Linked DNA regions of Diceros bicornis minor. The protein of the gene in region 1 interacts with the protein of each later gene in a pairwise test. Links are inferred from orthologs where the notes say so. Each region holds a gene or a part of one and is shown on either strand. Other genes may lie near its edges.

Evidence for each region.
Region 2: the proteins of LRP2 (region 1) and MAPK8IP1 interact in a two-hybrid assay, tested with the Homo sapiens proteins (2 studies listed by BioGRID). The link is inferred for Diceros bicornis minor from reciprocal best matches to the Homo sapiens genes LRP2 and MAPK8IP1.

Annotation. Positions count from the first base shown.
Region 1 is NC_080749.1:51,008,931-51,023,996, forward strand, and holds the start of LRP2 (low-density lipoprotein receptor-related protein 2), read right to left. Parts: upstream 6,321-15,066; 5' UTR 6,159-6,320; coding exon 6,080-6,158; intron 1-6,079. UniProt on the Homo sapiens protein: Multiligand endocytic receptor. Acts together with CUBN to mediate endocytosis of high-density lipoproteins. Mediates receptor-mediated uptake of polybasic drugs such as aprotinin, aminoglycosides and polymyxin B.
Region 2 is NC_080770.1:24,290,894-24,306,229, forward strand, and holds the start of MAPK8IP1 (C-Jun-amino-terminal kinase-interacting protein 1), read right to left. Parts: upstream 6,543-15,336; 5' UTR 6,485-6,542; coding exon 6,384-6,484; intron 6,376-6,383; exon of another isoform or gene 6,037-6,375; intron 5,655-6,036; exon of another isoform or gene 3,431-5,654; intron 1-3,430. UniProt on the Homo sapiens protein: The JNK-interacting protein (JIP) group of scaffold proteins selectively mediates JNK signaling by aggregating specific components of the MAPK cascade to form a functional JNK signaling module. Required for JNK activation in response to excitotoxic stress.

The DNA.
Region 1 (15,066 bases):
CACAGAGCACTATGTCTTTTGCCATAATGTTTCCAATAATTTTTCCCCCTTCAATTCATTGTCATCCAAGACTGCCTGCTCTTGAGAAATTTCTATAGCCTTTTCAAGTCTGTATTCATATATAAAATGAAAATAACCTTGGTTGGTTTTATCTGATAAGGTGTTCTAGACAACAGCCCAGCATCTGTTCGCCATTATCCTGGTAGCATTACCCCAACTTCCCTCTGGGCTATATCCTTAGTCCATGACTTCAGGGATGAAGCATGTGACCCAAGCGTAAGCCATGGGCACACTTCATGCCCCTGGATACAGTGACTGGTTCTCCAATGAGCTTATGACCGAGGCAGAGCCCCTGAGATGCAACTGAGACTTTTTCCGGGAACAAACAAGACAAAAACACTTGCTCTTTCCCAGTGGACATGATATGAAAGGATGTAGCTCCAGGAGGCATGGACAGCCATCTTATATAACACTAGAGGAAAACACATTTGAGAGCAGAGTCATCTCAGAGTCAGGAGACAGAGAAAGAAACCAGATCAGCATGACAGGCTGAGCCCCCATTTTATCTTAGGCTGAACCAAAGGAAATTGCCAATATTTTATTATGACCCAGAAAAGTGGCAATCCCATATGGTTCAACTTCATATCTGTATCTTTTCAATTACGTATCTCAATAAACTTCCTTTTTGGCTTTAGGCAGTTTAACTTAGGTTTCTGTCATTCACAAACATGAGTCCAGACCAGTATGTAAGGTTGTTGTAGCCACTAAAATGAGATCTCAACATGCACAGGTGCATCATTCAAAGGACCACTTGTAAAAAAAAAACAAAGATACCAAGATACTACAATATCTTCTTCTCCTCAAGTTTGGAAAAAGTTAAATTCTTTTTTTTTTTTGTGAGGAAGATCAGCTCTGGGCTAACATCTGTGCCCATCTTCCTCCACTTTATATGGGACGCCTCCATAGCATGGCTTGACAAGCAGCGCATCGGTACTCGCCAGGGATCTGAATCCCGGCCAACAGCAGCGGAGAGCGCGTACTTAACTGCTACGCCACGGGGCCAGCTCCCACACAAAAGTTAAATTATTAACAAGAGTAATAATAATGGATAGAAATATATATGAGACTTCACAGTCTGTAAAACATTTCATACTCGCCTCATTTAATTGGCATAACTACCCTATGAGGTAAACATGTGCCCATTTTACAGATAAAAAAACTGATCCAAAGCAGTTGAGTATGTTGAACTGAATTTCCCAGATAGTAAAAGGCAGAGCCAGGCCTCAAACCCAGATCCTTTCACCCCAAAATCTCACTCTTCCCACTTCATCTCACAATGCTGAGCTTGTCAAGAAATTGCTTATGAAACATTTGCGTGGACCCCTAGGGAACATATGAAGCATCAAAGAAATGTCTCAACATTTCAAAACAACTACCAATCTGATCATTTTAAAGAGGCAGCCCAAAACTCTGAGGCTGAAACATGTCAAACCTTTCTAATGTTGGTGAGATCCTGGCCAGTGTTATTAAGAACTATAGAATGACTGTCTCAGAATCGTAAATGCTAAGTTGCAATCCATTTTAATTGTGAAATCTAGACTCCTCTTTCAGTTCTCATCCTCCTTAACCTTTCTGTAATATTGATACTCCTGACTCACTAGCACACTGTAGACACTTAATATTAATAAATGTTTGTGGAATATGCCACAGAGGTGACAATTTTTTTAAATTCCTCAAGATCACAAAGTTAATAGGATATGATATAACCATTTGACTTACACCAACAAAGGCTCCATCAAACTCATTTTCCCCATATTAGAATAGAGCTTCACAATTAGTACCTTTTTGGTTGTTCTATATCATGCAGTCAATCTTTAGAATCCCTTTCCTTTCAATTCAACAAACTTTGTAAGCACCCTCTACTTTCTACATACCTTGTTCTAGCTACTAGAACTTAACAGAAACCCCAAAGCCAATATTACAATTTGCTTCTAGGCACACTGGAAATACATCTAGGTTCTTGATATCATTACTAAAAGATGATGATGAAAATTTTTAATTAAACATTTTTTAAAACCTGTCAGTGTTCTCAGAGTACCTTCCTAGAGAACACAGACAATGATTAACCATGACCTAATAATTACCTTGAATAAGACTAAAAACCTAGTCGTGTAGGTTAGAGATCTTTAGCAATGTGCTTTGATGGCCCAAAATTTTGAAAAATGAAGCCAGAAGTATGGTCTTTGGGAGTTGGAGCATAAGACGTGGCATAAACTCTGGACCAAGCAGAAAGCACATGGCAGATGGTTGTATTAACCTATCATAGCATTCCTCTTAGGCAGTCCTGGGACAGGTGACCCATCCAATTTTTTAAGAAAATTCACCAAGGTCATCTTTTCATTATACTTTGCCTCATCTGATAACTCAGGATCAACAGAAAAGGAATCTAGAAATCTCAGGCTAGGGGCATTCAAAGGACATGTATCTAAAAATGGTCAAGTAGAAAGACTGAAGGAGGAGACTTGGGTTCAGATTTTAGCTCTATCACAGGTCACAAGCCCTTAAGCAAGGCACTTAAGGGCCCTCCCTGTCACTCCTTTCAGTCTCCCTCCCTTCCCTCCAGGGTTTAGTTACTTATCTATAAAATAATGCAAGTAGACCAGTTGATATCTAAGGTTCTCTCCAGCTGTAAAAGTCTAAGTTTCTGTTAAAACAGGACAGGCACATGACTGAAGGGAGTTTAAGCAGAAGCCCTAAACACTAGCAAGGAAGAACTTCAAGCAGAGAAAGAGAAGCCAATTGCTATGAAATAAAAGCAGCAGTGAAGTATCAGATACGTGATGGAACCAAATGTTGCATGTTTCCTATTGGCCCCACAATCCTTTTAAACACATAAACTTCACCCGAAGATGTAATTGTTGTAAAAGCTGATAGTAAATCACACTTGCACTGGATGAAAGACTATAAATTTGTTTAAGATCAATAATATTTTCTCAAAAAACTTCAAATCAGATCCTGGGATCTGAGAATTCCTCAAAGAAACGTTAGGGAAAATGCTTAAAGACTTTCCTATGTGAATTTGGAAACTGGAAATATGAATAGTAAGCAAAAGAATGTTACTTTGTGTTGGTCAATATAATAAAACAGCTGCTAGTTTATGATGATGGTCTATATGCTTTACACCATGCTAAGCACTTTTACATCTTTATGTTCATAAAATGCCATGGAATAGATTCTTTCATTATCATACCAATTATGCAGATAAGCAATCTGAGCCATGCAAAGTTAAGTGACTTCCTCAAGGTCACACAGCTAGAAAATGGTAAAGCCAATGCTGGAACCCAGACAGGTTGACACCAGAGTTCAGTCTCTCAAATTTTTTCTTAAAAAGCAGTATACAAAATATGAGGAAAATGCAAATAATTTGTAGCTACAGATAGGCTATAATTTTTTTAAAAGACTAACCATAAAACACTCAGAACTCTTTTCCAAATTCTAATGATGCAAAGTTTGCAGTAAGATCTTACCTAAAATGTGGTGCTAAAATAAGGGCATTTCCATTGTAATCATACTTACTTCATCAGATAAGTAGAATCAATACAACAAGAATCTAGAAATCTCCTTAACCTTCCAGGCTAAGGACATTCAGAGGACACATATGTAAAAATGATCAAGAAGGAAGACCGGCAGTGAGAATACTTGGATTTGGGTCATAGAAACTTGAAGAGTTTCTGAAAAAATATCCACAGTAATGGAGCAGCAGGTGGATTGGACTTTATGTGGCAAAGACTTGCAAAATGCCCCTCAGCTTCTTTAGTAACCTCACGCATGGTTAGTAACTTAGGGAGCATGACATTTTTAGTACAAAAGAAGAGAGACAGAGAAACAGAGAGAGAGCTACACACTACAGCAGTTAAATTATAGCCTCTGGAGTCAGAATCTCTTGGATTTGCCTCACAACTCTGCCATTTTCTAGCAGTATGACCTTGGGCAAGTTACTTAATTGCTCTGTGCCTCCATTTCTCATCTGTAAAACAGGGAGAAGGAGTACTTACTACAAAAGGGCATTATGAAGATTAGAGGAGTCAGTAAGTGTAAAGTACTTAGAACAGGGCCTGCCACATGTATAAGTGTATGATATGTTACTATACATATTATTATTATATATTATTATTATTATAGAATGGAAGATGGATAGATGTAAACTACCAGGAAGAGCAAGTACAGGTTATTTGGTGACTAAACCATCAATCCAGGGGAGAGAACATCTGTTTTGGTTGTACGGGGACAACCCAGATGTATCCCAGATGAATCCGGACAAGATTTCCTTTTGCCAGGCACAGACAGGAACATATAGTAAATCCTATGGCTATATTTAGGACGCGAGATATATATAACCCTAAGCACTGGGGCAAACCCTCCACAATAATAATAAATCCTCTTTCTGTGTTACCAACACTGAGAAAAGGTGTTCAAAGGAAGAATTATTAACGGTCTCCCCCTGCCTCCCCTCCCTTCCTGCGATTTTTGCAAGACCAGTGGAGTATGTTGGCGTTTCCAAACTTCTTCCCAGGAAGTCTGAAATGGGTACTACTAGGAGTTGCTGTATGATTACTTAGTTGATTCCCTCTAAGGAGCTTATGCTAAGAATTGAGGAAAGAAGGCAGATTAACCATTTGAATACACGCCACGGCCCATCCACAAGCCCGCCTCTCTCTCCGCCATAAGTGGGGGCTTCCACAGTCCCCACCCGTCAACCCCAATATGTGATCCAGGGAAATCAATTTATTGCTTTGGCTAATCCTACAACAATAGGGGTTTCATTTTCATTGTAGGGCAATTAAGTTGTCCGACGAGAAGGAAGGAGCGGGAGAGGAAGAGGGGGAGGAGGGACTCTTCCATCCGCATAGACAGATTAGTCCCCGCGGAGGCAGCAGCGTCCGCTCTGTCTGTCTGGTGGTCGGTCACACGCAGCTCCCGGCTGCTACCTAGCAACGCAAAGCCAGGGAGAGAGCTCGCCGCTTCCCCGGCCTCCTCTCGCTCTTCCCATTCATCCCCGGTTTCTCTCGCGCGCGCTCTCGCTCTCCCTCGCCCTCCCTCTCGCTCTCCACCCCCCCCCGCCCCCACGCGCTGCTGTACTCTGTCTTCAAGCTCTGTCGCTCTCTCCTCCTCCTCTCCCTTTTCCTCTCTACGTGCTCGTCGTCTTCTCTCTTAGGGGACTCGTACTGTTTTTATTCTCTCCACTCCTTCCTCCCTCTCTTTCTCTACCTCTGTTTCTGTAAAAAGGTAAACTCTCCGACAACTTGAGAGAAGTTTAAAGCGCTTTATAACAGAAACTTTCTTCATTCGAGCCCTCAAAACTCTGGCCGCGCAGACGGGCCCCATTCATCAACACAAAAGCCCCCACCTCCCAGATGGAAAGGAAAACCCTTCAAGAAAATGCTCCAGTGCCTCAGCCGCTCTCTCAGCCAATCCCACCTCCCGGCCTTATCTTGCCTCGTAAATGATCTGTATCGAGACGCGGTCTCTTGGGGGTCACCGCGGGACCAAGTTTCCCTGGTGAAGAAGGAGGGGGGCGGGGGGCGGCTCTAGCCCGCAGCAGTCCAGGGCGCGCGACGGGATCTCCCCGGCGGGGCGCTGCAGGTGGAAAACTGCGCACCGAGCAGCGCCGAGGACCGCTCAGCCCCGGAGAGAATAAATCAGTGGGGGTAGCTGGCTGCGCACTCACTGGGGAAAGAACCTCATTCTCCGGGTCCCAACTGCAAAGCGCTTTCCAGAAGGTCGGGACAAACTCCCGTGGGAACAAAGATGGGGTCCCGGTGGTGTGAGCTGTCGCTGAAACCGGAGGAGCTCCTTTCTCAAGTTTGCGGCTGCTCAGTTCCCGAGCGGACGAAGGAGGGGCGCTCCCACTCGCCCCTCGCTGGGCAACCTGAGCGCCCCAGGGGGGGCCGCTCCGGCTTTGCCGCCCTGCCCTGGCCCCTGCCGGGCCGCGGTCCCCATCGCCCGCCTGCGGACTCGACCCTGCCACGGCAGGGGAAGTCAGGCGCTCCGCGCGGAGCTTGAGCCGGCGGGCGCTTACCTTGACCACTGGCCGGCGCCATGCAAGCGGCGAAAGCCAGCAGCAGCGTGCACGCCACCGCCGCCGCCCCGCGCTCCATCCCCGCGACAGTCCCGGGCCCCGGCCTCGCCGTTCCTTCCCTGGGAGGTGGGCGCGCGTCGCACACAGCACCCGCACCACTTCCGCTCGCGAGCGCTCCTTTCGGTCCGCGCCTCGCCGGGCTCCTAGTGGCGGAGAGCCGGCCCCGGCGCCCGAGGCATCCCGTTTTCTACCCGCGCCAGTCCCCACCCTCCAGACAGTGTATAAAGCCCTTTAGACCCGACCGCCCCGGAACTAGCATGCGGGAATCCAGCGGGGCAGGCCCCCTGCCGCCCGGCCCGCCCTCTGCACTTTGCAGCGAGGGAGGAGTGGGGACTCGAACACACCGCGCTCACACATGCACATTCCACGCGCGCACACCCACACACGTACTCATACAGCCTCACACACAGTCGCACACACTCCTCAGTGTCACACAAACTGACACGCAGTCTCACACGCTCATTCACGCGCGTGCACAGTCCTCAGTCACACACACGCGTGCGCGCACTCCAGTCACACGCACAGACACTGACACACATGCACGCACACTTCACAGTTACACACCCTCATTCATACGGGCACACACACTTCTCACAGTCACTCACATGCAAACACTCGCACGCGGTCCTGCGCTGCCCTAGCCCCTCTGCAGGATTATCCTCCGCATATAAGTCGGCTAGGCGGTCCACGGAGAAATCAGACTTAGAAAAGGAAGAAAAGGAAGACAGGGGAAGGGGAGAAGTAAAGAGCCTGCTGGAGAGAGTTGTGACCATTCTCTAGTCTGAAATCCGCAGTCTCCCTCCAACACTCTGGTTTCCCCCCATAGAGTTGAGGCGCTGAGATGGGGTGCTCTGTGTTTTTTGCAAGTTATGGAGGGGGTTGCATCAATGTCGGGGAGGGGATTGGACCCTTGTTTACTTTTCTTAAGTACCACATCTACAGGTGTCACGGCCAGATTGCGCTTCTACAAGTCTGTTCATTCTGAAGCAAACTTGAATGCGCTTCTACAAGTCTGTTCATTCTGAAGCAAACTTGAATGAACGTCTTGATCTTGCTGGTGCCCCTCTATGTGAGGGAGAAACGAACGTAAGGGGTTCAGAGAACCCCGCAGCTCCCTTCCTTGGGGCAGTGTTGGGACAGGCTGGCGGGGAGCTGGCCCCCAAGAGCACTACAAGTGAACTTTACATTCACCCTCAGAGATTCGTCCTCAGCAGGTACGTGACACCAGAGCCAACAGAAAAAAAAAAGCAGGGTTGGTGCATCCTGTTGCCTGGCCCTGGGAGAGGATGTTTCCGGGCCCGGGGTCGCCCCAGAATCTCCCTCCCCGGTCCCTGGACTAACTCGGCAGCGGGGTCCCAGGTGCCAGGTCCTGGTCCCAGGAGTTGGGAGCCGTTTCCCTCAGTCAGAGGGGCCGTGACCGTGGAGGCGGCAGCCCTGTATCCACGAAGTCCCCGGGCAGGGTCCCTCCGCCTCGCCCTCCCCAGGGCGAGAACCTGCCGGTAAATGCCACCCCTTTTCTGCAGAGCACGGATCGTCTGGGGCTCTGCCTACCCCCAACAGTCGGGATCGCGTAGCTTCGGTGGGCTTTAGCGGTTGGTGAAGCTTTGGGGGGGGTAGATATTGCTTTTAAAAAACAAAAAGAGAGAGACGGAGAAATAGACACAGAAAGTGAAAACTAAGACTTAACAGAGCAGGGCTGTGAGGAAGTGTGGGAGATATTTCGTGGCTTTCTTTTCGAGATTTCTAGATTTGGAAATCCAGAGTTCTCTGATCTGACCAAAGTCACTGAAACGCTATTTGCCTCTCTGCACAGTGTTTGGCGCTGTGCGGCGCGGAGGAGGAGGCAGGATTGGGGACCCGAGGCGCACGGTGGTGGGAAGTGAGAGGGACGAGCCGGGTGGGAGGAGGGAAGCGGCGAGGGGGCGAGAAGCTGCACTTCAGTCTCCCCGGGTGATTTATGCCGGTTCCGGGCGGCCGGGGTGATGGTACGAGACCGCGCCGGGGTCAGGCCGCTCCGACGCCGGCTGGAGCCGCGCTGCATAGTCAATGAGCGTCTCCGCACCACGCAGTTACAAAGAGCGGCGGCGGGCGCTGGCGAGGCGCGCCCCTGGGCCCGCCGGCGGGCAGGGGGACCGCATGCGCGGGAGGGGCTGCGCGCCTCCCAGTGCGCGCGTGGGCGCGTGGGGATGCGGGAGGGTGAGCGCGGGCGGGAGTGTGTGTGTGTGTGTGTGTGTGTGTGTGTGTGTGTGTGTGTGTCCGTCCTTTCACTGTAGCAGCCGGGGCTCCAAACATTCCTTTCTGCACTGAAGGGTTTTCCTCATTGTTGTTGTCTTTGTGCTCCAGTGTTGCCAACTTACTGGAATTCCTGACGTGGTTGCACAGCAGGGCTCAGGCTGACCGTATGAGCCAGCTGCGTTTGTGTATGGGGCCGACCCTGCCGTTAATCCCAGAATAACGCCGGAGAAGGCCGAAAGAATGGAGGGAGAACGGGAGGGAGGGGAGCAGATAAAGGGTGGGGATGGGGGATGAGGGACCACTAACGGAGCACAGTCCATCATTCCCAACACTATGCATATAAACTTACGCATCCACACTCTTTTCCACTAGAAAACCCCTTTTTCTCAATGCAACCCGAAACTCGTGCCGCTTGAAAACAGGCATCTTTTGCAGCCTGCACCATGCTCGTGTTTATCTGCCGTATCTATACCTGAGAATTCTCGTTGCTAGATTTGGAGGATTAAATCTAAGGACCAGCATCTGGGAAAGCCCAGGTTAATGGAGTTGTGATTTAAGGCAGCATTGTTTTTATATTATGCAAAAGTGTAATTTCTTTATTTTCCACATCTCTCTACACATATGCACATAAGACTTTACAGAGCAGTTAACCGAAAGAGACAGGAAAGTGCTGAAAAGTGAAATTTATTCTAGTAAATTTATGTTAATTGACTTCCTTGATATATTTTTGACTTGTCTATATTATTTTACTTATGCATCTCAACGCCAAATTACTGGAAATATTTTCAGAGCATTTGTTCCTATCCTGAGCCAACTTCTGCTTCCTGCAGTGGGCATGAAGTTGTAAAATCTCCTTGAGTAAAATCCAACTTCAGTTTGCTATTAATCCAGCCCAGATTTGCCTCCTGAGTGCCCTGGAGCCACCTGTTCACTGGACAGCTCTAATCCAATGTCCCTAAAACCACAAACTCAACATGACAGAGCCTGAACCATAAACCTTCAGAGTTCCTTATCTCAGTAAGGGGCACCATCATCTGCCCCAGAGGCCAAGGCGGTAATTGTCATTCTTGACTCCTCTCTCTTTTCCCCACACCCATTCTGTTAACTCAAGTTCCTCAATTTCACTCACTTTTCTCTCAAACCCACCCACTTCTTTCAACCTCATTCCCAGAAGCCACCAACCTCTCTCGTCTGAATTATCACAAGAGCCTTGTAATGGGCTCCTTGCTGTCAGTTTTACCCCTTCCCATCTATCCACCTATTTTCCTTTCTGCAAGCAGATGATCCAAAGTGATATTTCCATCAGACTAGTGCTATCAAACAAAGGTCATTACCCATTAGAGGGTTATGAAATCAATTTATCAAATTATTTTCAAATGAAATAGAATAGAATAGAAACTAAAATAACTTTCATATGGAAAAGATATGACTTGTTTCACAAAGCTCTTGTTTCAGATATATGATTTTATTTATTTATTTATTTTTTCCCCCAAAGCCCCAGTAGGTAGTTGTATGTCATAGCTGCACATCCTTCTAGTTGCTGTGTGTGGGACACGGCTGAGGGAGGAGAAGCGGTGCGTTGGTGCGCGCCCAGGATCCGAACCCGGGCCGCCAGTGGCAGAGCGCCCGCACTTAACCTCTAAGCCACGGGGCCGGCCCTCTTGTTTCAGATATAGATAGATGGATAGATATGCTGTCTCACCATGTAAAATATATTTCTTATTATGCATCTCAGTCACAAAAGTTTGAGATCTCTCCCCACAAATTACTTATTAATTGAAAAGAGAAAATAGTAACTATAAGTGGAGAACCTGGCAGATGTTTGAATAGGATTTATTATTATTTAGGTATGTAAGGTCAACAGATCAGGAGACAACTATCAGTGAAAAGATAGTTTATTATACTCACAGATCCCAAAAGAAAGAATACAGGTCACGCCTTTGGGGGCCCACAGGGCACCACCAGACTCTTCACTAGGAGACAGAAAGGGGGGCGGGTTGTGGGCAAGCACCTTCTCTGTGATTTCTGAGGGAACACACAGGCAGGCAGGGTAAACAGATTTAGGATTGGCTAGTCTGTGTTTGAAAAGCACTCCCTGGGGAGAACTCCTGAGGAGGGAGGCCAGAGGTCAAGGCAAGGTGACTCAGGCACATTATCAGGTTGTCCAGAACAAGGTGTGTCCAGCATATGCATGCAGGGCAGATGTTAAAGCATCAAGATTACAGAAGCTAGAAATATGGAAAAAACAACAGATACCAGGTGATATTACTGACAACAATGCGTAACCTGGATCTAATCATGACAAAGCATCAGACAAACCCAAATTGAAGGTCATTCTATAAAATAACCAACCTGTATTCTTCAAAAATGGCAAGGTCATGAAAGAGAAAGAAAGGCTGAGGAACTTTTTAGAGATACAACAACTAAATTCAATGCACGGCCTTGGATCGGACTTGGACTGGGGAAAAAAATAGCTCTGAAGGACATTATTGGAAAATCAGAAGCATTTCAATATGGACATGTCAATATGTCTGATATTGGTTAGGAAAGAGAATGTCCTTGTTCTTAGGAAATATAGCCTGAAGTATTTAGGGGTACAGGAACATGATTTTGCAATTTATTGTCAAATATTTCAGAAGAAAAAATGTGTGTGTGTGTATTAGGCAGAGAGAGAGCAAATAAGCAAAGAGTATGTGGGAGTTTCTTGCACTATTCTTGCAACTTTTCAGTGAACTTGAAATTATATTAAAATAAAATGATTCTTTTTTTGTTTGAGAAACTTTGCATTAAATCATAAGTTCCACAAGGATTGTTTCTCTCTTGTCTCCCAGTGTTTGCTCCTATTATTCCCTCTGTCTAGAACATTCTTCCCCTCCCAATCCTTCGCTTCATCTGGTTAACTCCTATTTAACTTTACAATCTCATCTAAAATATTTCTTCTTCCAGGAAGTCTTCCCTAAGCTCCCATACTCACTTTGGAGGCCCTTCTACATGCCCTCATGGCTCTCTTTATTTCCTTCAGCCCAACTCTTATCACACTTCTTGTTTTCCCATGGCCTCCTCAAAACTTCTCCCTCTGCAACCAGAATAATTGGGGCAGTCAAGCTGATCATGTCAATCACTTGGTTATAACACTTCAATCATTTTCCCATTATTCCTGGAATAAAATCCAAAATTTTTAGCAAGCTCTGGCATGATCTAGAGCCCCTGGCCATCTCTTGAACCTCATGTGACAGTCCAGACACACTGGCCTTCCACTTGGTTCCTCAAACATACTGTCTGCTTTCCCAGCCTTGAAGATGAGATTAAGAGGCCCAGGGGAGAGACAGGCAGAAGTTCACGGAGCTGCCTAAATTCCTGATCGTGCTCCAGGTCTAGTTCCTAACCTAGTATATCCTTACAATAATCCTCCTTTTGCTTGAGTGAGCTTGAGTGGATCTCTGCCACTTGCAAAACAGAGCCGGACTGAAACCATCAAAAAAGTGCCAAAAAGACCTCATAAGGTATCTCACCTACCAGGCAGCCCCAGTATACCTCTGACATAATAATAACTGCAATTCACAAGGAAAGAACTTTATATTTAAGAAACGCCCCCCCCCACCTTTTTTTTACAACTTTTCGACTTGCCAGTCTTGGAACCAGGTCCTGAGCCATGAGTCAGCTGCATGTTCCTGGTGGGTAGCCACGGCCAGGAAGACACAGCAAGACGTAAAGTGACAACTAATGCAGCAGCTATGTTTTCCAAACCAAAAACGCAGACACCAGGTATAATATGACAAGGGAATCCTCCTGATTTGCAAACATAGTCATATGAAAAGTCTTGGCAGGTGTTTGAAGAAACAACAGGGACTCTAACAAGTGTCACTGATTGAAAAAAAGTTGAATAAAATTAGGACTTTCCTGAAAAATTTAGGACTTAAAGACACAATGGCAGGAAGCCCTGGGATTCAGGTGGGCCTAAGGCAGCCACAAATGTTCTGATCAGGCCAGTTCCACAAACACTCGAGTTAAGAACCTGTGCAGCGGTACTTCACAGTACACCATGAGGAAAGCTAGGAATATGGTAGCAGGGTCAAAGTGGTCAGCTTCATTGCTTTTAAATTCCTCTCTCTTAGGAGCAATTTCTGCAGGCAAAGGTCAGTGAAAACATCTGACTGGATAATGACTCTTGAGAGCCAGAAGACCCAATACAATTCCATCAGTCCCATGGTCCATCTCTTATCTCTGGGACTGGGAAAGGGCAGGAGGTTGAAGAAAGGCATGTGATAAGGAGTAGTATATGCATGAAGAAAAGGCCTATAAATAAAGTCAGGATCCATATATGATCCTTCAGGTGAAATCAATTAGGACAATTATTTCAGTGTCACCATTACACGTAAATCGAGTCTTCAATGTCCAAAGGTTTGGGGACCTGCACCAGAATTCAACCAGGCTCCCCGTCAAAGGAGCTGGGTATGTCTTGTTCACCAACAAATCCTCAGAACCTAGCATAGATCCTGATACATGGCAGGACCTCAATAAGTGTTTGGAGAATGAATGAATGAATGAAATAAAACAGCATAAACTCTGCATTTGGCTTCTGGTATTTCACCCAAATCAGACCTTACAAACTGCAACTTATTTTGAAGAGATCTTGAGATCTTGTTTACTATGAGAAGCATCCTCAGGGTATTTCAGAGTTTTAACTTCTCTTTAGCAATACGTGCCTTTAGGGCCTACAATTAACTTTGCAATCTGAGTTTGAAAAGGAGCGGTATTTCTCTAATGTCCCCTGGGGAAGTCTGGCGCTATTTGGAGACTTTTTTGCTTGTTGCAACTGGGTGATTCTACTGTCATCCAGTGGGTAGAGATCAGGGATGCTGCTAAACATTCTATAACGAACAGGACAACCCCCCACAACAAAGAATTATCTGCCCTCAAATTTCACTAATTCAAGGTCAAGAAACCCTGAAATAGCACAATCAAATGGTTTGTGACAACAAAATCTTTAAGGATTTCAGGCCTTTAGATCAAGAACAGAATCATAAAATCCATTTAAAAACCACTTCTGGGGGCCGGCCCCATGGCGTACCAGTTAAGTGCTCATGCCCCGCAGCCCGGGTTCGGATCCCAGGCGTGCACCGATGCACCGCTTGTCAGGCCATGCTGTGGCGGCGTCCCACATAAAGTGGAGGAAGATGGGCACAGATGTTACCCCAGGGCCAGTCTTCCTCAGCAAAAAGAGGAGGATTGGCATGAATGTTAGCTCAAGGCTGATCTTCCTCACAAAAAAAATAAATAAAAAACACTTCTGCTAATTTCATCTTCCTAATAAATTGATAATCCAGTGGGCAAAGGACTATAATTCTGTAGATCAGAATCCAGTCAAGAGAAACAGACATTAAGATGGGGCATGCCAAGAAGAATTTCAAAATGGAGAAGACGCACATCCATTCTTCTGCTTCAGTGACGTTTAAGTAAATGCAAACTAAACAAAAAAAGTACTTATTTCCCCTCTTCTCTCTGGTTGACCAACTGCTATTTTTTTCCTCAAGCCTCAGCTCAAGTATTTTCTCCTTTGTGGTAAAATCTCCTCCACCCCTCCCAGAAGGCCTCTTTCTTTTCTGTAATACCATCCCACCATACACTTACCTTCATTAGGATTTTCAACACATGGTATAAATTCTTTGATTACATTCCTATCTCCTCCAATAAACTTTGTATACCTTACAGTCTTCTTTTTTCAATAAACTTTTTAATTGTAGAATAGATTTACATAAAAATTGCGAAGAGAGTACAGAGAGCTCCCATATATCCCACACCCATTTTGGCATATCATTAACAACTTACTTTAGTATGGTCCATTTGTTATAGTTAATGAGACATTATTGATACATTATTATGAACTAAAGCCCATACTTGATTCGGATACCCTTAGTTTTTACCTAATGTCCTTTCTCTGTTCCAGGATCCCATTCAGGATACTACGTTCGTTACATTTAGTCATCACGTCTCCTTAAGCTCCTCTTGGCTGTGACAGTTTCTCAGACATTGTTTTTGTTTTGGTGACTTTGACAGCTTTGAGGAGTACCAGTAAGGTATTTTTTTTTTAATTCCCCCCCAACTGAGATTTGCCTGATGTTTTTCTTGTGATTAGACTGGGGTTATGGGGTTTGGGGGCAAGACTACAGAGGTAAAAGGCCATTCTCCTCACACCAAATCGAGAGTACATACTATCAAGGTGACTTACCATGTTGATGTTAATCTTGATCTCCTGGCTGAAGTAGTGCTTGTCAGGTTTCTCCACAGTAATCATTCCTTTTCCCCCTTTCCATTCTGTGCTCTTCAGAAGGAAGTCATGATGGACAGCCCACACTCAAGGGGTGGGAAGTTTTATACTCCACCTCCTGGAGGGCAAAGAAAGGAATTCTTCCACGTGGATAGATTTATCTATTTGCCCCTATTTATTTATTCATTCAATAATTTATTTATATCACTATGGAATTATAAATATTTATTTCATAGTTTGAGTTATAATCCACTTCTACATTATTTTATTGCTCAAATTGTTCTAGCTTTAGTCATCAGAAGCTTTCAGTTGGCTCCTATGTGCCTTTGACATACCCCCATAATTATGGGGGTTTTTGTTTTTTGTTTTGAGCACTTCCATGTTCCAGGCTCATCTTGTATATTCCCTGCCCCAGCCCTAGAAT
Region 2 (15,336 bases), on another chromosome or scaffold:
GCAGAGCTGGCTCCCAGTGGGTTCTCAGGACACCTGTGGATCGGCTGCTCCTCTCTAAGCAGGTTCCCCTACAGGCCATTCTCCACTGGGCAACCAAAACCCACATTTGAAATGCAAATCTGGGCTTGTCACCCGTCCCCAGCTCAGAACCTTCAATAGCTTCCCCTGGCCCTTAGGGAAAGAGGCTAAAATTCTCACCTGTGGCCTGAAGGGCCTCCCATCCCCTCTAGCCTGTGTCTTCGCCCTCCCAGGCCTCCCACCCCGCCCCCAACTCTCTAGGCTCCTGCCCCACAGGCTCCCTCAACAGAGCCTTCTCTGACCTCCCTGACCAGGCCAAACAGTCCTACCACTGGCTCTCTTAGTCCCTCTGGCGGGTAGTTCCGGACTTTGGGTTGTAGCGACTAGTGGTGGGCTCCCCCTAGAGGCAGGTGCTCCATGAGGGCAGGATCGTCTCTCTCTTGCCCAACAATGTGTGGCGCCTAATAGGTACTTCATAAATGTTGTTGGATGAATGAGCCACTGGTGTCCCCAGCTCTTTCTAGATTTTCCCCTTGGGAATCTCGAAGCCAGTTCCCCTTTCAACTTAACTTCCTGTGTCCTCACCTATGTCAGAGTCTAGGGTAGGATGTGTAGGCCCCTGGGAAGGTGGCACTGGCTGAAAAGCAGGCTAGGGGCGAGCCAAGCCCAGCCTCATCCTCAGAACCCTCTCTCCATCCCACTCCTAGCGCTGGGTGTCAGGCTGGGTGTGTTGCTGTGGTCTGGAATTCTCTTCCCGACCATGTCCGCACTGGCGTCACCTCCAGTGAAAACTGAATCCAACCCACGAAGGGGTTAGAATGTATCTGATCAGTTTAAACTCCTTGACGCTGAGACGGAACAAGAACTCTGGGATTGGCGATTCAACTTGTAGGAAACTGCCCCGAGAAAACATTCCCACAGTGGAAAAACTTTTTTGTTTTTTTTCCTGAGGAAGATTGGCCCTGAGGTAACACCTGTGCCCATTTTCCTCTATTTTATACGTGGGACGCTGCCACAGCATGACTTGATAAGTGGTTCGCAGGTCCATGCCCGGGATCTGAATCCGCGAATCCTGGGTTGCTGAAGTAGTGTGCGAACCTAACCACAACGCCACCAGGCTGGCCCCTGGAAAAACCTTTATACACAAGGACACCTATTCCCCATAACAGCAGACAAGTGAAAACTGCCAAAGAGCCCAGCACCAGGGGGCGGTTACACCGTGGCCGTCCAGTAGATGGAATTCCATCTGTGGTTGGACTATTGTGCCGTCTTTGCATGAACATCATAAAGTCTGTGAATTAATGTGGAAAATGGCAACTGACATAACGAGTAGAAAGACAGAATATATGACCTTATGGTGTCCCATGATGAACCCCATACAGGAAGAAGCACTAACGCGGCCATGGTGTGAGATGTGGTTGGGTCCAGGGGGATCTTTGCTCCTCCGCTCTCCTTGACAAACTTTCTGAACTGGGTGACACCAACCTAGCGCCAGGCTCCCAGTCCTGGTTCTGGGCTGCCTGCCCTCTCTCAGGGCTGTGTTCCTGAGGGCAGACGCCACCACGTTCACTCTGGCACTGACTTCCCACCCCTGCTCTAATCCACGCACAAAGCCTGTACATCGCAGGCACTAAATAATGCCTATTAAAGGAAGTGCCGGGTGACTGTCACTGGATGCTCCATGACAGCACCACATGCATCTCCAGTGCCAGAACAAGGCAAGGCCCATGGCTGATGCTCCTAGAGATTTTCTGAATGAATACAATGGGCCAGGGGACAGAGATGTCACCCACACCAGGTAAGAATCTCCAAGGGGTGGTGGCAGTGACCCAATCTGTGGGATCCACTGGGGCTCCAAGCTATAGCTGGGTTGTGGCCCAGTCCCAAGAATCCAGAGACCAACTTTAAGGCTGTGACATCAAAGAACAGGTTGACATTCTGCCTGGGCCAAGTCAACACTCTGTCCCCACACTGGAGGTTCATCAGGCCCCGGGCCAGGGGGAGCTGCCCGGGGCTTCAGGCTGGGGGAGGGCAGCTCCGGCAGCAACAGCTTTTCCGTTCCCCACCCCCCCCACCATGGCCGGCTGAACAGATCACAGGGCTGGCACTCCTCAGCCTGGTCCCTGGCCATCTCCCGTCACTCTGCTGTCTCTCTGGGTAGCAATGTTCCCTCTGAGGCTTCAATGGCTGTCTCTCTCTCTCTCTGAGATGAGACTCCCAGGGTCTCTGGCCCCAGGCCAATCCTCTCCTCTGAGCTCCAGACCCCAAGCCAACTGCCTGCTTGAGTCTTCCAGTTGGGTCTCCCAACCATCACCAGCCTCAGATTCAGCAGGTCTCCTAAAGATTTCACCGCCTTGCTCGCCAAACCTCTCATCTTCCACAGGGCACCCCATCCCCAGGGGGCATAGCGTCAGCCTGGACTCCTGTCTCTCCCCTATCTACCCCTTGCACCAGCTCCCTCACCAAGTGGGCTAACCAACCTCTAAATCTTCCTCACATCCTCCCCACCCCTCCTTCTCGCCAGCGGGATGGCCGGTCTCCCAGTGGTCTCCCTGCCTCCCCGTCCACTCTCTACCCAGCAGCCAGAGTGATCATCCCAAGATGGCATCCAAGGCTGTCGTTCCCTGCCTCCTAAACCCTTGCTGGTTCCCACTGCTTGTTCGTGGACAGGCCAGTGTCTCAACACGGCCTACGGGTTCCTGCCTGCCCGCCCTCCACTTGCCCCAGACCATGCTGCTTCACTTCTTCTCAAGCTGAGATGAACCCTTCCTGAGGCACAGGGCCTGGCTTCCCCCGGCCCCTCACCTGGGTCACCATCACACCTACCAGCCTGTCTTGTACGGCCTTGTCTGTCTGTCTCCCTCCTACACTGTCACCTGCATCATGGCCAGGCCCATGTCTGTGCCTCTGGAGTGTCTCTCTGTTGAGCCTGGCAAAGTGCATATATTTGTTGAGTGAATAAAGGAACAGCCAAGCGCGTACGACCTCATGAAGAGATGAATAAGGAGGTCCCTGCGCTCTTCAGTGACCTCATCTCTCATCCCTGAGGCGGTGTGGTAGGGTGCAGAGAACTCCATCCAGGGAGTTATGAGGCCCGGGTTCTGTCCCAGCTCTGCCACTGACTTGCTGTGTGTTCTCAGGGAAGCCACTCACTCTCTCTTGTCTTCTCCTAAGTAAAAGGGGAGGGGAGTAGTTTGGATGAGCTGATTTCTAAGGTCTCTCTCATCCCCAACTCCTCTTCCACACAGCCAGGGCAGGCTGCTCGCTTTACTTTCTGCGAGCATCCTTTGTCCCTCCCCCATGGACTGTCCCACTGTCCCTCCCTGTCGTCCCCCGTCCCAGCTCAATGTATTCATTGCATAAGTTTCTAAATCTCTTTTCTAGAGTTTTCCTTATAATGAACATGTATCACTTTAGTTTGGAATTTTCTTTTATTATTTTGTAAGTTACAGAATTAACCTATGCTTGTTATAGAAATAAGAAGTCAAATAATACAGAAGTATGTAAAACAAGTGAAAATCCCTCCCCTCATACCATATTCGGAGGGAACTACTAGTCACTGGTTGGCGCATTTCTATAATCAGAAACAAACACATATTTATTCAAACCAACTACCAACAGACGAACGCTCGACACCCCTCCAGCTCCACGCCTGGGTCACCCCTCCACAAAGTCTCCCCCAGTGTGCCAGGGCTCCCTCCTTTCAGCGTGGCTCTGAAATCAGATTGCCTGCGTTCCAACCCCAGCTCTGCCACTTCCCTAACCTCTTTATGCCTCAGTTTCTTCATCTGTAGAGTGGGGATAGTAATAACACTCTGTTTGTACGGTTCTGGTGAGGACTAAATGCTCTTGCACAGAAAGCACCGAGAGTGGTGCCTGGGGAAGAGACGGTCCCGAGGGCCAGTGCTTCCCACTGTTCTTCCCTGAGAGCAGGCCCTGCTACTCTCTGTACTCCAGGACACCAGCATCCGGGTTCCTCCCTCATTAAATAAGAAACCGCTAAGGCATTACCGAGCACCTACTCTGTGCCAGCCATTGGGCAAACCAAAGTTTAGGTGTTGACTTCTTATGCCTTTTGGAAGCTGACAGTGGTGCTGAGGGTACCCACACAATAATAACAACAATATTAAAAAAACAGCCCTGTATGAATGCAGCTTTCCACAGCCCTTGAAACACTCAACATGTGCCCTCTCATCCGAGTCTTAGGACTACCCTGAGCAGGTGCTAAAGCCGGCATCACGGAGAAGAAATAGGCTCAGAAGGTCAAGTGCCCAGTCTTGGTACATGGCTAAGAAGGCCGAGCCAGGACTCAAACCCAGCTGAGTCAGATCCACGACCCCACCAAAGAGCCACGAGAGAGCAGTAACCACCCTGGGTTAAACCAAGTTGGGCCCAGGGAAAGGGCAGCGGGGGCTGCCAGGGCAGGCGGGGTAGGTCACGTGGGGCTGGAGACACGGCCCTGATTATTCCCACAAGCTGGCCTTGTCCACGGCCAGGCCACGGTGTCCTGGAGGGCCGGCCCACACCACAGCCTTGGCGTACTGCCACCTGCGCCCACCAGGCCCAGGGCCAGATACACTCACTGGCTGGCATCTGCCACGTCAGCTCCTCTTGCTGACGTGTCCATGGTGACCTGACAGCCAGGGGCAGGGCTGGATGGAGTGCTCTGTCCTCTGTCACGTGGGGATGGGGGGGCAGGGTGGGCAAAGCTGCCCTCTGGGCCAGAAGCAGGGCCTGGAGGTAGAGTGGACTGAACACACACAGACTTGGGTTCCAGTCCAGCCTCAGGCTCTGACATCCTCGGGTTCCTCAGGCAAGTCCCCTGCTTTCTGAATCTCAGTCTCCTCATCTATAAAATGGGCAGACCGATACCCAGCCCAGGGTGGTTGTGAGAGTTAAATGAGCCAGCTCTGGGAAAACGCTTTGAATGGTAATGAGCTATATAAATGCCGGCTAACACGGGGGCTGACCCTGGTGGAGCACCGACTTGATATACATTAAGGAATCAATATTAATTAGCTTACCTAACAGATGGAACTCAGAGAGGACAAAATCACCCAGGTCATGCAACTAGAAAGTGGTGGAGCCAGGATTTGAACCCAGGTCCCTCTGAGCTCCATGCTTTTCCACTGCAGAGGGGCCTCCTGGTAGGAAGGCAGTGTGTATCATGTCAGGTGGAGTCAGTCTCAGACGTCAGCCTGGTACTCTGAGGCACTAACCACAAAGACCCCAGCCCTCCAGCCTTCAGGCTTGGCCTCCTCCATCTGGTCCCCTCCTTCTGGTCTTCCCGGCTCAGCTCAGAGCCTCGGGGAGATTTCTAGTCCTGATGATGCCATTAGAGATCCCCAGGGGCCCCTGCCCACCTGAGGGCCAGGGAGCCAGCAACCCCCTGGTCAGAAGAGGGGTAGGCGCCAGGGCCCAGCTGGGGCCTGGCTGGGGTGGGGGCCCCAGGAGAGGGGAAGGCGCCAGCTCATTAGATGGAGAGACAATGCGGTTCGTCTAGGCCTCCTTCTCCTAGGTACTGTAGCAGCTACACCCTCCTCTTCCTCCTCTCCAACTGGGGCCAGGATTATGGGGGAAGGACCTTCCCCCACAACATCCATTGTCCACTGCTCTGAAATCCACTTCCCAACGACCTAATATCAGAAAGGTTCAAGGAGGGGGGTAAAGGGGGAGCTCAGATCAGGGTCCTGGGTACTTACCCCAGCAGGGACCTGGCCCCCATGTTCCTCGCTACTCCGGGGCCATCCAAACCAGACTCCCCCTCCCACAGGGGGGCCTAGGATCTCCGGGTTGAGGCTGAGCCTTCCGCACCTGCACACACCTGACCAGGTCAGCGCTTGCCCAAATCCACAGAGGCTCCTGGGAGTTAGGCCCCTCTGGCCAGGCAGGGCTGGGGGAAGGGCCCACGACTCCCTTCTTCCAGCACCAAGAAACTGGGACCCGCGGGGCACCCCAGCCTGCTTCCATCTCTATTCAGAAGCCTTCGGACTGGCCACAGGCAAAGCCCCAGCCTACCTGCCTCCTCGGAGATCTCACTCCAGACCCCACCAGGCCCCGCCGCCGCCCCCAAGTGGGAAAGACGGCGGCCTCCGCGCCCCCTCCTCCAATTCCACCTCAGAATCTTCTAGCCTAGCACATGGAATGGCGGAGGGAGCTGCACCAGGGATACGCGGCGGCGATCAGTCTGGACTGGAGGCTGAGGGGGATTCTGGGGCCTCTGTCCGGGGAAGAGACCCCATCCCCACGCCGCCCTCCGGTTCCCGAGGTCTGGGGTGTGGGTGTCGGGGCCGGGGGGAGGGGAGCCGGGGCAGATCAGTCGGGGCCAAAGGGCGGGGCGCGGCGCGGCGGCCGGGGATTCTCACCTGAAATTGGGCGGCGACGCGATGTGCAGCCCCAGGAACGGGGAGGCGGCAGGCGGGGACGCGGCCCCCCCGCCCAGGCCGCCGCTCTCTCGCTCCGCCATTCTCCGGCACAGCCCTGGCCATCCGGGCGGAGCGCGGCGCGGAGGCGGCGGCGACGGCGGCGGCGGCGGGGAAGGAGGCGGGGTCGCGGCGAGAGGCCGCCGCCGCCGCGGGGCTCGGGCTGGGGCGGGCGCGGCAGGCGCACCTGCGCAGGGCAGGGCGCGGCTCGACCGCGCGCCGCTCTCGGCTCCGGCGCGAGCGCCTCCGCGCGCCCCGGGGCCCCGCCGTCTCTGCGCCCCGCCCCCGGCCCGCCCCCGGCCCGCGGGCCCCGCCCCGCCGGCGCTCTCCGAGGTGCTGAAGTCGCGGCTCCCGGGTTTGGCCCCGCCCCGCCCTCAGTCCCACACTGCTCCTCTGCCTCGTTTCCCCCTCCCGCAAAGCACTCCCCTCGGCCCCTCAGGGTGGGCCTAGAGCTTGGGTATCAGGTAACTACTGGCAGGATCCGGGTCCCCAGGGCCCTAGTTGGCCCCCCGCAGCAGACAAAGGTGGCACACAGGAAAGGAGGGTCATGGAGGAAGCCGAGAGTGTGTCAGGACAGGTCCTAGAGCAGACAGGTTTGGAGTCAGGTGGTGTGAAGTCACAGCCTGGCTCCCCAAGTGCATAGGTGGTGTGGCCTTGCACTAATGACTTAATAGTCCTGAGGTTGGTTTTCTCATCCGTGAAATGGGGACAATAATGGTCCCTCTCACATTTGTTGTGAGAATGAAACGTAAAATGTGTTGTCATCGGAGGCTGGGACACCCCACTTCCCTCTGGGATCCAGGTCTCACTCCATCTTGTCCCCTTACCTCGATGGGACCCTTCCAAGGACTCTCCCCTAGAGGGTCTCTTCTCTAAAGACTGAGCCAAGCCCCCCTTCAGCCTCAAACAGCTACTAATGGTGAACTGAGCCCCTCTTGGCTTGTCTCTCAGCTTCTCCCTCATGTAGGGACTTTCCCAGATTACTCCTTCTTCTCACTTAGCACCTCAGTTGCATTTCCTGAAAAGCACCCCTCTTTTGCACCCACAGACACCCCATAGCTGGCTTCTTACATTCTAAGACTTGGGACCTTTCCTCCTGCCCCCACAGTTGACTTCTTGGGATTCTTTGTGTGTGCGTGTGTGTGTGAGGAAGATCAGCCCTGAGCTAACATCCATGCTAATCCTCCTCTTTTTGCTGAGGAAGACCGGCTCTGAGCTAACATCTATTGCCAATCCTCTTCCTCTTTTTCCCCAAAGCCCCAGTAGATAGTTGTATGTCATAGCTGCACATCCCTCTAGTTGCTGTATGTGGCACACCACCTCAGCATGGCCGGAGAAGCGGTGCGTGGGTGCACACCCGGGATCCGAACCCAGGCCACCAGCAGCGGAGCGCGCGCACTTAACCGCTAAGCCACAGGGCTGGCCCCAGACTTCTTGGGATTCTTTTGGTGGTTTTTCTGTTTCCTCCAGCACCTCTGCCCGTGCTAGGTGTGGGCCATGGTTTCCTCTTGATCTTCTCTCCCCTCAGAGGGTTCAGCTTGTGAGTTTTTCAGAGTGTGGACTGCTAGACATTCAGGCTGTTGGCCAAGGCCAGGGCCCCAGCTTTGGTGGCTCCTAGAGTCTCTGGCCAAACCTCACTGGCTTCTCTGGCCACCTGACAGAACCGCAGAGGCCCTGTCCTTCACCTCTCTCTCTGAAGAAGGGGCAGAGTAAACAGTTTCACAGCTTGTAGAATCCTATTTGCAAATCTCAACTGCCAACTGGTCACGCCAGCCCCCTTTTCTTTCAATGTAGCACCCAGGGAGCAGCTGCAGGCACCTGTCCTGCAGTAAACAGCCCCCCAGCTCCAGCCCTGAGAACAGCCCAGTACCTAGAGCCAAAGGCCTTGGCCGCCTCTCTTCTTTCTGCCCCTGGGCCCAGACGGGTGGCCATTTTATCTTTCCTGCTGTCTTGGCTCAGGCTCCCTTCACTAGGCCCAAACAGTAGCCATCTGCTGCTATGGTGCCTGGCTTTTCCTCCCAGGAAAGCAGTTTTGTCACAGTGGCTAATCACTGTTCCTTAGAATGTGTGCTTGTCTCAACTAGGGAGCATCCTCAGGAGCTCAGGAGTGTGTGTGTAGGACAACTCTATCTTCCAGAACCTTTTGCTCAAGAACAAAGGTGTCTTAGCTCCCACAGCCAAGCCAAAATCACATTAGAGAGAAGCCAGGAGAAGGGAGAGGGAAGGTTAGGCCCAGGTCTTGGTGGAAAGGGGGCCAGCAGAAGCTTCAAAGCAGGGTGAAAAAGGAGATGAGTCCCAGGCTCGAGTTCCTCTTCCCTTTCTCACTCTGTGCAGGGCAGCCTGTGATATTCTTGGGTCTTACCTGAGCCCCTTCCCACAGGAAGCTGGGGTGTGGGCTAACAAAGCTCTCACTCCCAGTGGTCCAAGGCTAGAAACCCCTACAGGAAAGCCCATGCACACTGCAGAGGGGCCACTCTCTGGCCAGATGGCATGAGAGAAAGCCAGCATCCAGGACCTCGGCTTGGCTATGGGCAGGTCTCGACCACCTACCAGAGCCAGAGGGCTTGTACTCCCTCCACTCACACACACACAGCTGCAGCTTACCTGGCTGAGCTGAGGCAAGGATGGATTGAGGGCCTGGAGAGCCCTGCCACTGATCCCCAGCCTGGGGGGTCTAAGTGGGCGGAGAGGCCGGGTCAGCACAGGACAGCCATCAGGAACCCCACCCTGGGCCAGGGTGCTGTGTACCACTTTGGCTGATGGACCCCCACTCTGACCAAGCTCTGGAGCTGCCTCTGGTCTGCTGCAGTTGCTCATGTAGGAGCCTCCCATTTCATCTCCCCCCTTCCCCCTCCTCGCCACCTCCAAGGAAGGGTGAGAGGCTCCTGGGTCCAGCAGAACCCAGGTGTCCTAGCCTAAGGCTTACTGTGGCTCAGCCTTACTGACTCCCAGTCCCCAGCCCTCCCACAAGACTGACGACAGCACAGCTTTGCTCAGACAGGGTGAGACATTTATGAAACAAGTGACTATTCAAACAAACTGTGGGAGAAACACACCTTCCCAGCAATAGAAAATCTCTGTATAAAGTGCATTTTGCCTGCGACCATCTCTTCCCCATGCTGGCCCTTGGGTCGGGATCTGGGGCAATGCTTTGTGGCAGCCCTTAGGGATACCTGGGCCAGGAGAGGGGAGGCACCAAGCCATTGTGGAGGTCCAGGCCACTGGATGTACTCTCTCCTCACACGGCCCCTCCCAGCTCTGGGAGCAGATTTTTCCATTCCACGGGGAATGGACCAGCATGCCAGGGGTGGTGCACAAGTAGGGGGAGGTGGTCCTGCCAACTTGTACCTTAGGGAAGAGAGCCATCATCGGATAGGCAGGAAAAGGGAATCATCCTGATATTTGAAGGTACTGTTAATAAATACTGACTCTGGCCCTAAGCTCTCTGCCCTTCTGTTTCTCAAACCAGGCCTTCCAGGCTCGCTCTACTCTTCTGGCAACAGCCCCCGATTCTCTTTCCTCCTGCCTGGGGCTAAGGGAACAGGGCAGCCCCCAACCCAAGGCTGCAAATACACATCATCACCCGTGCCCTGCTCCCCCGACACGATCACGGGACGTTCCTAGTGAGGGTGACATACATACAACAGTTGGACTCTAAAGGCAGCTCTCTGGCTGAGAAAACCTGAGGACATCTCAGGAAGAAGCCTGTCAGTGTGCTGGACAGATGCAGGAGACAGGGGCCTGACCCCAGGTTCTGGTCCGAGGACAGAGGACAGTGAGGGACAGGGCTGGGGCCCAGGCAGTTAACAGCTGTGAGGCTAGGAAAGGCCACAGGGGAGGTAGAGAAGAGAAGGCCCAGAGGCCAGCTTAATGTTACACGTGAGGACAAAATCCAAAGAGGAATTAGCCTCTCGGCTAGGTGCGCACCTGTACGTACACACACACACACACACACACACACACACACACACACACACACGCGCACACACACACGCATGCGCACACACACACACACACTTGTGGCTCAAGTGCAGGCCATAACATGGAAGGAAGACTTGCTGCAGCTGACCCCACAGTCCTCTCTTCATTACACCTTTCTCAACACAGGCCTCCAACAGTGGAAGGGCTGAGGCGGGAGGCACAGGCCACTCCTGGAATGCAAAGCCTTGGCTTCTCTGGGTGAAACCTCCCACCTGCTGCTTCTGGAAGGGTTGGCGCGCTGGGTGGGATCTCTACTTGGACCTTTCCCAACTGTCCCTGGCAGTCCCCACCCGCATCCACCTGCCTGGGGACTTGGTGTCCAGCTACTGGGAGAGCTGATGTGGCAGCTTGGATGCTGACCAGTTCCAGGCAGGCCCTGGAAGCCTACAGAACAGACTAGAATGGCTTCCCTGGCTGGGAGTCAGCTGACCTCAACGGCAGCACTACGGTGCCCTGGAGTGTGGCCAGAGGAGCCAGGGGTCTTTCTACCACCAGGAACCTGGCCTCCTCCTGGAGGACGCACCGAGTCCCCACAGTCAGCTCAGAGGCTAGCCCTCAGCTTCTGGGGAAGGAACAGTGAGAGCTGGGATTCTATTTCCAAACTCAGGTTTTCAGCCCCAAAATGGTAGATGTATTTCTTGGGCTACCATCTATAGTACCGTGCATACGGCACACCGGTCAGGTGTCTGGTGTACTTCTGTATGATGGTGGAAAGTTTCAGATCTGTCTACAGCCTCGTGCTCAGTCCCAGATGCCCGAGGAAGGGTCTGGAGGACCCAGTGGCGGGGAATTTTAAAATAAGAAAGAAGCCAGGCCAGGTGGCTATGTCTGAACAGCATCAGTCCACTCCAGCCTCCAGGGTCAGAAGCAGGAACTCAGCACGACTCCGGCTGCCTCTAGAATCCCACACTCTGGACAAGAGCCAGAAATGTTGTCCTCCTGCTCCCCAGTCCGATGTGAAGAGGGAGCGAGTGCTGGGGGGCAGATGCCAGAATCCCAGCTAGAGTCCTACCGCTCTTCTATTCAGACAGGGCAGCTGGCTGGCAGCGACAGGTCTGGGCTGAAAGTCACTGCCATGACCTCTAGCCTGGTGTCTGGAGGCTGAGGTGAAGCTGCTACAGGGACTCCTCCGGCCCGGGCAGCGTTCAGAGTCACAAGAGTGTAAACGGATGCATGCACACGCAAACAGGCACAGCACTCCCTCCTCTGCACACGCGCACACACGCACACAGGTTCGCTCCATCTCTGTCGTGATGGCGATCAGCTTTTCTGCAGGTTGCACTCTGCTGCCACGGCGGCTGCTCGGGCACCCAGGCTTTGCTCGTGGAGCCACGGCGCTGCTGCTGAAAGAGACAAGCGAGTACAACAAGGAACGTTCAGGAGGCTACTCAGGTGCCCAGGGACACAAGCTCCTCTGGCTGCTTCTCTGGGGACACTCAGACTGGGAACTGGGAAGAGCCAGTACTGTGCACGGGCCACAGTACCCGGGGACAGGCTGGTTGCCAGGACGCCACCGGGTGCCTGCACACTGCCCCTCTGAGGTGCTGCCGCAGGACAAGCTCTCCCCCGCAGACCCTCTAGGCCTCCCCTGCCGCAGGGCCGGGGGCAGCAGAGGAGGAGGGGCAGGCCATGGGAGACTCACTTGAGGCCTTGGGTGACACTCGCTCAGATATGACAAGGGCAGTTTCCGAACCAAGGCCCAGCGGCTGCTGCCGGAGATGGAGAATGAGAAAAAAAACGGCTGGAACAGAAGCCAGCCGGGACCAGTAATTTTGAAGAAGAAGGCAGTGACTGAGTAGAGAATCAGCAGGTGAGCAAATTTCCACTTATAGATAAAAGAACTCTGGCACCGTGCTGGAGGATTGAGGGGGGAGAGAGGAGACACAGGATGAGTCACTTTAAAGATTTATAACATACTGAATCTGGGGCAGAGGGAAGAAATGGCCTCACGCCTGATAACAGAGGACAGAGTGAGCCTGTCATAGTCCTGGGTCGCCTGCTGAAACAGGTCTAGTGTGTCTAAGGGGGTACAGACATGCAGGGCTCCACTAAAAGTCTGCAGTTTAGACGTTGGGGAGGCAGATAATAAGGCTTACCAAGCGTACTGTGGGTCAGACACTGCACACCTGTGTTATGGTTGAACTGTGTCCCCTCAAGATTCTTATGTTGAAGTCCTAACCCCAGTGCCTCGGGATGTGACTGTTTTTGGAGACGGTCTTTAAAAAGGTAATTAAGTTAAAATGAGGTGATTAGGGTGGGCCCTACTCCCATATGACTGGTGTCCTTATAAAAAGAGATTAGGACACAGATGCACACAGAGGGAAGGCGATGTGAAGAGGCAGGGAGATGCGGCCATCTACAAGCCAAGGAGAGAGGCCTCAGAGGAAACCACCCCTGCATCACCTTGATCTTAGACTTCCAGCCTCCAGAACTGTGAGAGAATAAATTTCTAAGTCACCCAGTCTGTGGCACTTTGTTAAGGCTGCTCTAGCTAACTAACACAGCTTGCGGTCCCATTACCCCTGGAGATATGGCCTCCACTTTTACAGATGAGAATACCGAAGCCACAGAGGGTGAGCAAGCTGCCGGAGACGACAGCAGTGGGGGAGCCAAGTAGGGACACCCAGGTCTGTCTGTTTCCAAAACCTGTATTTTCACCAGTAAGTTATCTCTATGTTATATAATTGCTCATTAAGACTTTTAGAGGACACGAAAAGAAATTCAACAAGGTGGCATGAAGACTAATATCCGAGCAACATAAATGGAAATTCAGATGTTAATAAAAAAGGAAAAATGTTCTCAAGAGTTCAAGACATTGGAGTCAGGGGTTCAAAATCACTCTTCCGACACATGCCACGCTTTTCAGACAAATGTTAAACCTGGAGATTTTATCTGGATACATTTATCTAGAAGCTGTGTAAAACAAAGAGCAACCATAGGAGGGGGTACCCATATGGGTCAGTACTGAGTGCCTCACTCTTTAAAATGTGTATTATGTTCAACAATTTCTCCCTTTAAACTTGTACTATAATAACCTAGCCATATTTTTTCACTACAAATAAATATATTTGTTACTAAAGTGTATATGTGTTTACTGAAACATGCTGACTGTGCTACATGTTTTATACACAGGTCTCTCTCTGGCCCCTACTGTTAAGCCAAAGAGAAGATAATTCTTCTGAAACTGAAAATTTCTGGACTGGAGAGTCTGCCACAACAGGCGCTCCTGCTGACACCTCCACTTCTCTTCTCCACCTTCAGGGATGGAGGAAGATAAGAGCTTGAAGATTCCCGAGAACAAGGCTCTTATTCTGGGGTCCCTGGATGCTTAAGGGGTCCAAGCATAGGCTTAAGGGGCAGTCCACGAAGACCCTGAAGTTCTGAGCACATTTTTCTGTGTGTGTGAACAGGTGCAATTTTCTGGGCAGAGGATCTATCCTTCATTCGACTCTCCAAAGGGTGGTTAATCCAAAAACGGTTAAGAACCAATGCCTAAGCTTGGAAGATAAGGGGTGAGGTGCAGCCAGGCGACTATAATGGTAACAGTTCAGACGTATGTTGACTCGGGCACGATTTAGCTGAGAGCAGGCTCATGAAGGGATGGAGCAGTGTCCTGGCCTCAGACAAGCCCCAGTAACCCAAGTGCCTCTCTGACGTGTTCAAAACCACAAACACAGAAAATCAAGGTTTAGAAGACCCAGCCTGTCCTTGTCTACAAAGCTAGCCAAAGGCCTGTTCAACTAGTTCCTCAAGCTGCTTGGTCAGCAGATAACTGGATGGTCCCCCCGCTCTTGTTCTCAAGCTAGGGCACAAGTCTGCAGATAAAGGGGGCAGGAGGGATCAAAGGAGGCCTTGCAGGAAAATGATGACAGCAGCACGAAAGGAAAGGGAGGAATGTGGCTCCAAGGGAAAAATCAACTCAAAACACGAAAAATCAATCTCTCGCTTGTCAACTGTCTCAACCTGTTATTAATCCAAGAAACACAGAAGCAGCTGGAACACAGAATCAGTTGGTAACTGCCCCCCTCAGTGTGCCCAATTTAGACAGACACCTGTGCCATCACATCCCTTCCCATCCTTTAATTGCTAACAAGAAACCCTGATCTGGAAGTCCACCACTCACCCCCATCCTGGCCCTGGAGGGGCGCGTGGAGAACACGCATGCGTGAGCTTCTGTCAGCAGAGGATACCTCGACAGCTCAAGGTCTGGGGGAAACTTTGTTTGGAGCCCGTAACAAGTCTCAGATGTCACTCTCTCGCTACCATGCCGGGGAAAGCGCAGCACCCAAGAGCTTGAGGGGCAGAGGGTCTGCTACAGCCCCCAAGTTAGCAGCGGGGAAGTACAGCGATGCAGCCGGGCCTGGACGGGGTACGAAGCTGAGCTCTCAGCTCAGGCTAACTCCTCACGTCCACCACACCCTCAGCCCTCCGTGCAGGAGGGCACAGCGCACAGCAGAGGCAGGGGACGCTACTCAGTGAGTGCCAGGGAGAGGGCGAGGCGACACCGAGTCCCCACTTTTCATTTCCGGGTCAGGTGAGGCAACTCGGGCGAGGTCTTCCAGGCAGTGGCGGCAGGACTGGGATGGGGACACTGGTCTGAGTGTAAAGCTGGGCTCTTTTTAGAACACCACACTGTCTCCGCTTCCCCTGTGTGGCATTTTACAGACTGCCCTGGGCCTTCCATGTACAGTATTTCACATAAGGAGCGATATACAACCAAACAAATCTCATAAAAACAATGAAGAGATTCCAGAAGTCAGGTTTTCCTCAGCGAAGCCCCAGGCTAACCATACCCTGGTGAACGGTGTGGGGAGGGGAGACAGGCTCCTTGGCCGTGAACCTTTCGTGTTCAATGGGGCTTCTCTCAGCAGATCGCTGTGTACCAGCAGAAGGGCGAATGGACCCCGTGAGCTGT